2 linked regions of the Drosophila melanogaster genome follow. Each later gene encodes a partner of the first gene's protein in a complex. Each region holds a gene or a part of one and is shown on either strand. Other genes may lie near its edges.

Evidence for each region.
Region 2: SWIP (region 1) and wash share a complex: the UniProt entries of both Drosophila melanogaster proteins name them as parts of the WASH complex.

The regions. Positions count from the first base shown.
Region 1 is NC_004354.4:16,312,111-16,318,486, forward strand, and holds SWIP (strumpellin and WASH-interacting protein), read left to right. Parts: upstream 1-1,598; 5' UTR 1,599-1,708; intron 1,709-1,769; 5' UTR 1,770-1,771; coding exon 1,772-2,287; intron 2,288-2,348; coding exon 2,349-2,555; intron 2,556-2,611; coding exon 2,612-3,712; intron 3,713-3,774; coding exon 3,775-4,027; intron 4,028-4,081; coding exon 4,082-4,236; intron 4,237-4,302; coding exon 4,303-4,729; intron 4,730-4,793; coding exon 4,794-4,999; intron 5,000-5,059; coding exon 5,060-5,503; 3' UTR 5,504-5,640; downstream 5,641-6,376. Other genes in the region: CG9915 (uncharacterized protein), read right to left, coding at 1-772, 838-856; Cyp1 (cyclophilin 1), read right to left, coding at 6,072-6,376. UniProt on the Drosophila melanogaster protein: Acts at least in part as component of the WASH complex which may regulate wash nucleation-promoting factor (NPF) activity and is required for its membrane targeting during endosomal sorting.
Region 2 is NT_033778.4:12,178,356-12,183,004, reverse strand, and holds wash (washout), read right to left. Parts: upstream 2,513-4,649; 5' UTR 2,465-2,512; intron 2,383-2,464; exon of another isoform or gene 2,380-2,382; 5' UTR 2,305-2,379; coding exon 805-2,304; 3' UTR 632-804; downstream 1-631. Other genes in the region: CG13175 (uncharacterized protein), read right to left, coding at 1-209; CG8860 (uncharacterized protein), read left to right, coding at 3,212-3,418; EndoG (endonuclease G), read left to right, coding at 4,532-4,649. UniProt on the Drosophila melanogaster protein: Acts as a nucleation-promoting factor by activating the Arp2/3 complex to induce actin polymerization. Participates in both linear- and branched-actin networks.

The sequences.
Region 1 (6,376 bases):
CCGCTTCGCGAACGTCGAGAACCGCTCCGCGATGCATTTGAGCGTCTAGAACCGGACCTACTGCGAGATCGCTTAGATCCACTGCGAGAGCGACGTGATCCACTGCGCGATTGCTTAGACCCACTGCGGGAGCGGCGCGATCCACCACGGGATTGCTTAGACCCACTGCGGGATCGCCTAGAGCCACTGCGGGAGCGACGTGATCCACTGCGGGATCGCTTAGACCCACTGCGTGAGCGGTGCGATTGCTTAGATCCACTGCGGGAACGCCTAGAGCCGCTGCGGGATTGTCTAGAACCGCTGCGGGATCGTCTAGAGCCGCTGCGCGAACGTCTGGATCCAGCAGGCGATCCCGGTGCTGCGCCAGAATGACGGGAGCCACTGCGGGACGGAGCGGAGCCGCTCCGCGACCGCCGGGAACCGTTTAGCGACTGCTTGGAGCCACTGCGCGAACGCCGGCCACTGGCTGCCGAGTGCACCGATCCGCTGCGGGACTTATGGGATCCGCTTCTGGAGCGGGATGCGCTCTTCCTGGTAGCACTGCGACTGCGACTACGCGAGCGATCGGCGATGGCCTCGGCATTATCATCACCATTCTTGGGTGCCGGCGAAGGAGACTTGCTCTTGCTCTTCTCTGGCAATACTGGCTCGAAATTGGTTGCGTCGGGATTGGTATCTTGAATTTCCTTTAGCTCCGCTTTTGCGGCCGTGTCTGTTGTGGTCTTCTCGAGTGGCTCGGATAAGGTCTCGGCTTCGTCGCCGCCGGCCTTTTCTGAAAATTAAGTGTATAAAATGGTTAAACAAGAATTTCCATTAAGAATCAATTTGGTAATCAACCTATTTCAGACGTTTCCATGCCGTACTAATTATTCCTATAAATTTTTAGTAGTACACAACCAAATTTGCCTAGTCAGTTGGTCAAACTGCTTTCAGGCTCAAATTAAATAATTCCTGCAATGACTTATAAAATACGACGCGATTTTATTGCTCGGCATTTGTAAGGCCAGTGGAACGAATGGAAACGGAACATCAACGCTTGTGTGTACACATACACTAATGCATACACGCTGTTTAGGGCCCTTATACACGACAAGCCTTTTGTTATCGATAACAAAACTTCTATGATAAGACATCCGAAATAACTTATTCTACAAAACATTTAAGTCCAAAACTTAAATATCAAAATTAAATTTGTTTATGGACAAAAGTCTTGTTTTAAAAATAGACTGCGACGTACAGGTATTCGTGTCAAGGAGTACGATTTTAATCCTTGGAAATCGATAACCAAACTTATAGAAATTGATTTAATTTGTTAAGTCAGAATGAAAACTAGGTATTGCATATATTCATAGTCATTACGATTATGTATTTTTACCGCTGTTTCTTGAATCAAAAATTTATATTGCTTCTTATATAAATAAAATGAATTTATTATCTGAGGATTATTTTTGCTTATAAATTGTATAAATAAATCATTTATCGGAATAGACATGCTACCAACTTTTCCATTCAATTAATCGCGATTTTCGATTTTACACAGTTTTTGGGTTTTAACTACGCTTGTTTAAACAAAAGATATCGAGAATTTAGCGTTATCGAATCGGAATCCACCCACTTGAAATGCCCCATCCCTAAATTTGCCATGAGAAAACCAAAACAATAATATTTTTAAAATTGGTAGACATGAAGGAAGAGCAAAGCTCTATGTGTATGAAAACGCCGATATCAGCTATGGAATACTATTCTTATCTATATATTTTCTATTTCAGCTATGTTTGCCGAGGATATCCTACGGGATTACGGCTCCTTCATATCGGAGCACGATGGGAAATTGAAATTATTGCGAGATAAAGTGCCTAATCGGGATGTTTCCGAGTCTGCACAGTGTGTATATATGTCGCCCGTGGTCGAGGTAAACTTTATGGGCAACGATTCCATGGCTCCGGACAGAAGCTTTGAGGAATCGGAGCTGGTGGCCAATAAACCGCTGACAACTCTGGCGAATCTGTGCAATCAGTGCAGAAATCTGTCCAGGAAGGCAAAACGGTTCCAGCTGGCATTCCTTTTCAGCGACTTTCGATTAGATGATACGCTCCCGCCACATACCCACACATCCGAGGGTTCCGCCGGCTTGGAGGGATCCTTGGTCCGCATGAGCAGCTCCATGGACTTCTTCTGCCAGGTTTACTTCTTGCTCAATCGCATGATTGTGATACTCCAAAACCTTTGGAGACAAATAGCCGCATCTGTTAGCGTCCCAATGGACATCAATGAAGTCCACATATTCGTAAGTCAACGATCGAACTCACATCTCAAGTGTAGTAACCAATTGAAGTCGAAACTTGCAGGCTGTCTTTGATGCAATGAGTGAGTTACTGGAACACATAGTGGTATTCAATGAACTGGCGAACCAATCGAAGATATCCACCATGTGGGCGCTGTACAAGAAGTGGCTGATGAACCTATCCAATAGCCAATCAGCGAACTTGGAGCTCAATGGCCTTAGTACATCGCTAATGGATATAGAGAATCTGATCACCAAGGATTTCTTTCGGGTAAGTCAAAGAAAAACGTGAATGGTAACCGCCCTTTCATGGATATTTCCAAACAGATTCTACTGGACAATTTGATGGAATTGAAGAAGCAATTTGGCCTGAATAGTGTTAGCCCCATCACCCAGCATTCCAATGCCTATATTCGTAGGCAGCTTCTCGACGTCGACGCGAATCCGAGTAACGAACTTAAAAACTATGAGGATCCCAAGCACATTATTCGACTTACCACCTTCGTGGTCGTCGTCCATGAGCTAGGCATCCAGATGGAGGGAAAACTGGTCAAGAATGTGATCGATTTGGTGGCCAGGCATAAGCAGGTGCCTCTCAACCGAAGCGTTTTCTGGTCGCCTTCCGGATTCCTCTCTCTACATGCCAAAACCCTGATGAAGTCTTCAGCCCGATCGCAAGATGGACAAGGCCCAAAAGTTCATAGCACAGTATTGGAGAAGTTTAGGCTTAGCGATCAGAGGACCTGTCGCCAATTGGGCGTCCAACTATCGCTGTGGTCCATCCAAATGCAAAGGGTATTCGATGTGGGAGTCTTTGGACACCTCAAGACTTTTCTGCAGTTGATTCTCAATGGACACTCCTATGCCGATCAAGTTAACCTGCTGGCAGTCGCGCTGATCAATCGGCACGTGGCTCTGATGACGCCCATGACCAGAAACGATTGGATCGTCGTCTCTCGGTTGCTGCAGTACCTGAAGGTCATTCAGAAGACCTTTGAGTCAAACCAAATCAATTTCGTGCGCTTTATCAGCTCACTGATACAATGGCAGAAGCAAAAGGTCATACACCTGCTGCACACAACGAAAAAGAAGATAGTTGTCCTCAAGTTGCTGCAGCGCAAGATCAACTTTTTGGCCACAATAAAGCTGGCCGAGAAGTCCATTATGGGATTTCCGAGCAAGCAACGTTTGACTTTCGTAAATCTAGCCCTCGGGGAGTTTCTAGATAATCGCCTCCTGCCCGCCGACAATCAAAAGTTGATCAAATCGATCCTACATCGTGTTAATAGTATCAGCGACATTATGCGGAATATTGGTGGACAACTTAACACGTCGGAGTCCTCGAGTCTGGTATATAATCACTGGTTTCTGGACACTTCGGTGCTTAAGGAGTACACCGAACTCCAACGCAATCCCTACTCCTTGCAGGTTGGTTTCTTACTCAGTTTCTGGCAAAGCAACTTCATGTTTATGCCATTTATCATCGGCAGAACCTCGTGTCGGTGAGCCATCATCTGGACAAGATCATGGCCATGTTCAGGGGTTCAAGGTGTCCCAAGCAATCAGCGAATGACTTGATCATTGAGTTTTTGAGCAACCACCTGGAGTTCTTTCTGCGCGTGGAGGCCCTTTCGCATCTCTTCCAGAGCCAGGATCAACCATTCCAGCAAAGTGCCTTAGACTATCGTCTCTGCATCAATGCAGTTGCAGTTGAAAACGATGGTGATTACAATATTATAAAAGGTAAGATATCGGTTACAAAACTGAGAGATCATGCCATTCATTAACATATTTTAGATCATCTTGAGAACTATTTCACTGCCACGTTCTACAACTTAACGACAATCGCTCCGCACGACTGGAAATCGTATGAAAAGATGCGTCATTTGGCCAACAAGGTGCTGCAGCTGCAACCCATCGATGACCACCTGCCCAATCAGATAATTGACCAGGTAACCAATTGAATCATCAATAAGCAATCTCTTCTATTAACCAAACAATTCTTTCCCACTTTCAAGGGCATAGACGTGCTGCAGATCATGCGGAATATACACACTTTCGCCTCCTCGTATGCCTACAACATGAACCTGCAGGTGTTCGTGGAGACGAACAGCAGGAGCAAGCACCTCGACATCATTGGCACCCGGCACGTGGCCAACTCGGTGCAGACGCACGGCACCGGTATCATCAACACCACCGTCAACTTTATATACCAGTTTTTGCGCCAAAAGTTTTACACCTTCTCCACCTTCCTCCACGACGAGCAGATCAAGTCGCGGCTGCTCAAGGAGCTGCGTTTTCACACGGAGCACAAGCACAGCAAGTCCTATCAGTCGTATCCCTATGAGCGCGCCGATAGTTTTCTTAAGAAGATCAGAAGGCTAGGCTGCTCCAGCAATGGCGAGACGTATATGGATCTTTTCAGGAAGGTTATCACACAAGTCGGTAGGTGGTTAAAGACCATAATTCAAGAAAATGCTTAAAATATAAACGTAAATATTGCTTTTAGGCAACGCTGTTGGCTATGTGCGCCTCCTGCAGGCTGGAAGCAAGAATGCCAACTTCCGGAATCGCTCGTATAAAACCAGATTCGACAGCAACTTCAGTTGCGGGGGCTCCAAAGTGCACGAGGCTACGGAGGGTTCCATCAGGGAGTACGAGAAGAGCCTGGGTCACATGAAGGAGTGCTATTCCGATAGCACAAATTACTTCAAGGTGCAGTCTACGATCTTAACAAGTTAGGTAACCAGCTTAACCCATGGATTTATATTGCAGCTTCTTCTGCAAGGCTTTCAGCCCTTTTTGTGCAATCCACATAACCACCACCTGCGAACCTTCTACCTCATCACACCGGCGCTCATCATGAACTACATTGACTACCGGGTCAAGCAGAAGCTAAAGATCTACAAAAAGGACCAGACCAAGATCTCGCTGTTCGAGGATGGCTTCGCCATCGGCCTGGTCTACATCCTCAACATGCTGAACCAGCAGACGGAGTTCCATGAGCTGGGCTGGAGCCAGACGATCACGCAGCACCTGAACGCGGAGCGCTCCAAGGTGCGCGACATTTTGGCGGGCCAGCAGCGGACGGCGCCGGAGCAGCTGGACGAGAAGCTTCACCAGACAGTGGCGATAACCGAACGACATGTGAACGCCTACGAGCATGAATACAATCTATTGTACGCCACCTTGAGTAGCTCCGAAATATTCTTCCAATAAAATATGTCCATTTACCAAAACCAAAGATCCCAGCAGTGACAACAAACAATTGAGTAGTTGGTTGCCGTTTATTCAGATTTATTAAGACGAAAATACAATTCCGATTCCGGTACATAGCGTAGAACGTTGGTATATATATATATATATGCAATTAGATAATCAGCATTACTAATACTATTATTAGTAGTAAGTAAGCCAACATCAAAAGATCAAACATTTTTCTAAGCCCCTCTCGACTCTTGTCGTCTCATTGTTTTTCTTCTTTGTTTTTTTTTTTGTGAATGGAAATGTTAAAGTTACAGATTTAATGCATATTATATAGCCAATTGAACGCTTTCTGACATTGGTGGGCACTAATTCTATTCACTTTTGGCCCCCACATACAATTGATTGGCCAAAGGAAACCCAACATGTCTATTGAAAATATGTTGGTTTGTTATGTATTTTTCTCGTAATATTACAGTACAGTAATTGGTAAAAAAAAATGTTTTGGAGAAAATGCAAATGGTTTTCGTCTTAACAGATTTTTCTTCTTGCAATGTTGCTGTTGCTTTTGCATCGCACCTTCTTAAAGAGAACCAGAGTTAGCCACAATGATCTTCTTGGAGGTCTTGCCAGACTGCGATCCATAAGATTCGATCTTCTTGACCACATCCAGTCCCTCGACGACCTCGCCGAAGACGACGTGCTTGTTGTCCAACCAGGCGGTCTTCACAGTGCAAATAAAGAACTGGGAGCCGTTCGTGTTGGCGCCAGCGTTGGCCATCGACAGGATGCCGGAGCCGGTGTGCTTCAGCTCGAAGTTCTCATCGGGGAACTTGTTGCCGTAGATGGACTTGCCGCCAGTGCCGTTGTGGTTGGTGAAGTCGCCGC
Region 2 (4,649 bases), on another chromosome or scaffold:
AGCTGCTGCTGGGCCACCACCTGGCCCAGAATCTTGCCGAGCTCCTCGCCTAGGGATACTCCCTGGGCGTAGCCCAATTTATAGCCCTCTTCGTTGCCCTGCTCCTGGCCGTCCTTCAGTCCCTCCTCGTAGCCCAAACGTGCCTCCTTCTCCTCGGTCAGGACAATATCGTCAAAAAGATCGTTTATATCCCGCGACGGACTTGTCATTATATGTGGTTTCACCGGATTGCTTGTAAAAGCTCTCCTCTAGTGTAGTAGTCCTTGTCCTTGTCCCTGATTGTAACTCCAGATATTTGGCAGCTTCTCTAACTTTAATATTTAAATTCGGTGGATATTTCAATTTGTTTTTACCCGAAATGTGATTCCACTGCGGCATTTTACAGCACTGGCAGAGAGCAACACAACAGCGCTGTTAAGGATTTAACAGGGAAATTCGTTTATTTCAAATAGGAAAATAGCTGTTATCTAAAACTAGAATTTAGTGTTTTATTATAATTTAATATCGAGTTTATTTTAGTCAGTATAAAGAATTGTTTTATTTCATTTAGCATCACAAAATGTTTCATTGTCCTGTAATTTTATCAATTAAAGTTAGCCAATGTTCTCAATAAGAAATTACACACATTTCTGCTAATATGTAGTTTTATTCAACTGGTTGACTTTGACCTAATTTGGCATGCTCGCTTGGGCACAGAATTTGGAATTCGTTTTAGAAATTTGTATGCTTTAAGCTAGAGAACCTAGGTTGCTAGTGCTTTAAGCCAGCCAAGGCACTTAAACCGGTACTAAAGCTAAATATTCACTAGTTCCACCCATCCTCGTCGTCCTCGGAGTGTTCGTCACTCGACTTAGATCCCTTGCGGGGCTGCACCGGCGGCGGTATGACGCGGGAGAGCTGCTGCATCAGGGGATTGCCAGCAGTGGCCTCCACGGGATTCTGGCTCCCAGAAATTCCCTTGCGTCGCAGCATTAGCTTGTTATGCAGGTCTGCCATCAAATCCCCCGTGACAGCGCCTCCCGCCTTGGAGCGACTGTTGTCCACCACGTCGAGCGGCGCAGCCGCAGGCGACCGCAGACGACCGCCATGCACTCCACCGGCGTTTCTTATGGCGGCCATAAGCTCAGATCGCGGATCTTCAGTAGCTGGAGGCGGCTGCGGCATGTTAAGAGGTGTTGCTAACGACGGGGAGAGCGGTTTCACAGCTCCTTTGGTGGGAAAGGGTGGCGGTGATGGAATTGCGCTCGTCTGCGCTGGTGGAGGAGGTGGAGGCGGCGGTGGTGGCGGAGGAGGAGGCGGTGGTGCCGCCGTAACTGGCGAAGGACATTGTCCCACACTCTTCCTACGCACCGGTCCCGGAATGTGCGTCTGTGCCGCGATGGCTTGCACTATTATATCCTGCTCCTCGAGGCCCAAATCCGGCAGCTCTGGTAAATCACCGAACTGCTGGGAAGGCGCTATTGGTGTTTGCTCCTCCACTGGCTCATATTGCAGATCATTCGCTATGCCCGGTAGGTCGGGCAGGTCCAGCGGAACATCAATGGCGGGTGCAGCCAAAGCAGCAGGATTGTAGCGCAGGTCCCCAGCTGGAGTGGCCAGTTTGGTGGTGCCGTGGGCCAGCGAATGAGGTGCCGGAGCGAGCTGCTTTTCTCCCGTGAGTTGAGTGGACTGACTGGCAACGCGTCGAGCATTTTGCGGCGGTAGGGATCGCTTCCAGGCATTCAGATCCTCGCCGTAGGCGAACTCATTGGTATTGAATCGCATGAGCGAGGGTACGGAGCGCACTCCACCCGCAGGCAGGATGCCCAGGCCAGCGGTCCGATTGGTTATCTTCCGTTCGGCGACCAGTGGCGATTCCTGCTCCCGATCGCCACGTACATGGAAAAAGATGTCCGCATCATCCGGCTTCTGGTCCGCGGCACTGTGACTGCTGTACGTCCCTTGCGGGAGCTGGTCCACTTGCTGCTCCATTAGGGGATTGGCTGCCACCTGTGGAAAGGTGGCTGGCAGCGGTGCCAGGACGTCGCTGGCCGGAAAGCGGGCGGGTGCAAAGATCTGGATGGCCCGCTTGGAGCCAACGAGCGCATCGATTTTTGCCTGAGCGCGCTTCACACGATTGTTTATGTCCTCAACCTTTGAACCATTTCTCGCCAAGCGGGCATCGATTCGCTCGAAAATCGAGTTTATGGTTTTGTGTAGACAGTCCAGGGACTGGGCTGCTTGGATTATGGTATCCTCGTGGTGCAGGTCGGTGGCTATAATGGCCACCTGGTAGGGGCTGTGCAGGTAAGGTGACTCCTCCATTTTTCTATCGCCAAATAATTACATATTTATTTGCAATTTTACTGCTGTTCATGGTAGTGTGACCAACTCTAAAAGCTTTACAAGATGTTAAAAATGATTTGGTTCAAAGTAATAATTAAATGGATTTCTTTTAAAATTACGAAACCTCAGATTAACTAACCCCTAGCTAAACGAAACACCAGTCAACTGAACCCTCAGTTACACTAACTCCCACGTAAATTATCATTCAGGTAAACTAGACCCCAGATAAGCTAACCAGATAAACAAACCACCAGGAAACAAACTAACCTTCAGATAAACTAACCCTCAGATAAACTGCGGTGTCTCCCAAAACTATTACTGTTAATAAAGCAGTTAAGGACACGGATCGGCTGTAGTACTTCTACTAGAGAAGGCGGCATTTTTAAATACCTTTCAAACTCATCCCACTGTTAGGAGAACTTTTTTAATCAGGGGATCATTTATTCAGGATCATTACTAAATTAGGCAAATGTAAGCCTATAAGCACGCCATTCCGGAGCACGGAATTTGGAATTCACTTCCAAATGACGAAAAAATAAATAAATAGAAAACGTCCATATGTTCAAAAATCCACCGTTCCTCCATCGACGCTAGGGTAGGGTAGTGTGCCCAAATCAATTGTTAAAAACTGTTCATTAAATGATTTGCTTCAAAGTAATAATTGAATGGGTTCAATTTAAAGAAAAACTCAAAATAAATTAAAATAATTCAAATACACTTATATTTCAACCAAAAAAAAAATTTATTAACAACTAAAGGAAAGGCGTTAATTTTTAGTATGTTTTGAGCTGAGGAACTTGGTAACACTGCAAGAAGCGACACGGCAGCAAAATAAATATCAATTCAGTTCATTGGTAATTCTTAGTTAAATACTCACAAATCAAAAATGGACAAGGTTGTCAAATTCGCCGAACCCGGACGCGCCTTCGCCAAGGACTCAATCCGCCTGGTGAAGCGCTGCACAAAACCCGACCGCAAGGAGTTCCAGAAAATCGCCATCGCCACCGCCGTGGGCTTCGCCATCATGGGCTTCATCGGCTTCTTCGTCAAGCTGATTCACATTCCCATTAACAACATCATCGTGGGATCCTAGAAAGCGGCAGGTGGCCCCCGGACCGGAAAGAGATTACATGTAGTTCACGATTCCACGCGCATCTTTAGCGAAATAAATGCCCCTTCTTCGGATTTTATACACACAATACAATGTAATATCTTTGGCTTGGGTTTGAGATAAGAAAGTCTGGTTATAAATTGGGTGCTTGGAGGGTGTGCTCAAAATGTTGTAAATATATTTCCGAATGCAACTAAGCCAAAATTCAACAAAATCTTAGCTTATCATTCAGCAACAAAATGGCATGTATTGTACTATTTCATTCATCTAGGTCGAGTTGCTTATTTTGAATCGTTCTTCCAATTGACAATGTTTATATTTTGTTATTTTAACATAGAGATGATTTAACATTAAATTCTACATTGTACAATGGCATGTATTTGGGTTCGCCTAATATTGCTTTAAAATTAGAAGATTTTAATTCTGTTATAAAAATCTTTCTTTAACCTTAAAAATAATTTTATATGTGTTGTATGCCTTTTTAAAATTACTGTTTTAGCCATCGTTTTGTTCTGCGACACAATTGCTTTTTCTTAAAAATTCCTAAACAAAGAAGCAACAATTTTTTTACAAAATATAAGCTAAATTTTATAAATTGATGGTCACACTTTTCCTTTTAAGTCGGGGATCGGTTATCGAATAAATTTTAAAACATGGCAGCGCCCACTAAGTTATTTGATTTTAAACGCGAATTTCTTACAACCTGCTACACGCCGAGTGTGTATTAGAGCACATAAGACGAGGGGATATCCAGCCCTGGAATTTTGAACTGCCACGACGAGTTATTCGAGCTCGGATATCTTGCTGTTCACGAAGCCCATCTATCTATATGGAATTGGTAAGTACCACCATTTGCGACTTGGGCTACGGTTAAAGCTCACACGTCGCCTTTTTAAGTTATTAATACATTAATGAAATATACATAGTATACTTACTTATTTTCCCAAGCAAATTTAGCAATCCGTGCATATATTTATGTCTTTCACTGTAGTTCGTTCGACCACTTTAAACTGTGGTCACACTAAAGTACCTGAATTGTGCAATAGCGGTCGCTATCTGGTCTTTTTGTCCAGATTTTTAAATAAAACTGCCAAAATGAGTGCTCCTCGAGTGGGTGGCGTATTAGCTTTGGGTGCCACCGCCCTGGGCGCCTTTTATCTGGGCACCCACGTGGAACGCGAACGCCAGCACAATGGCTCCACAAGTGGCCTTC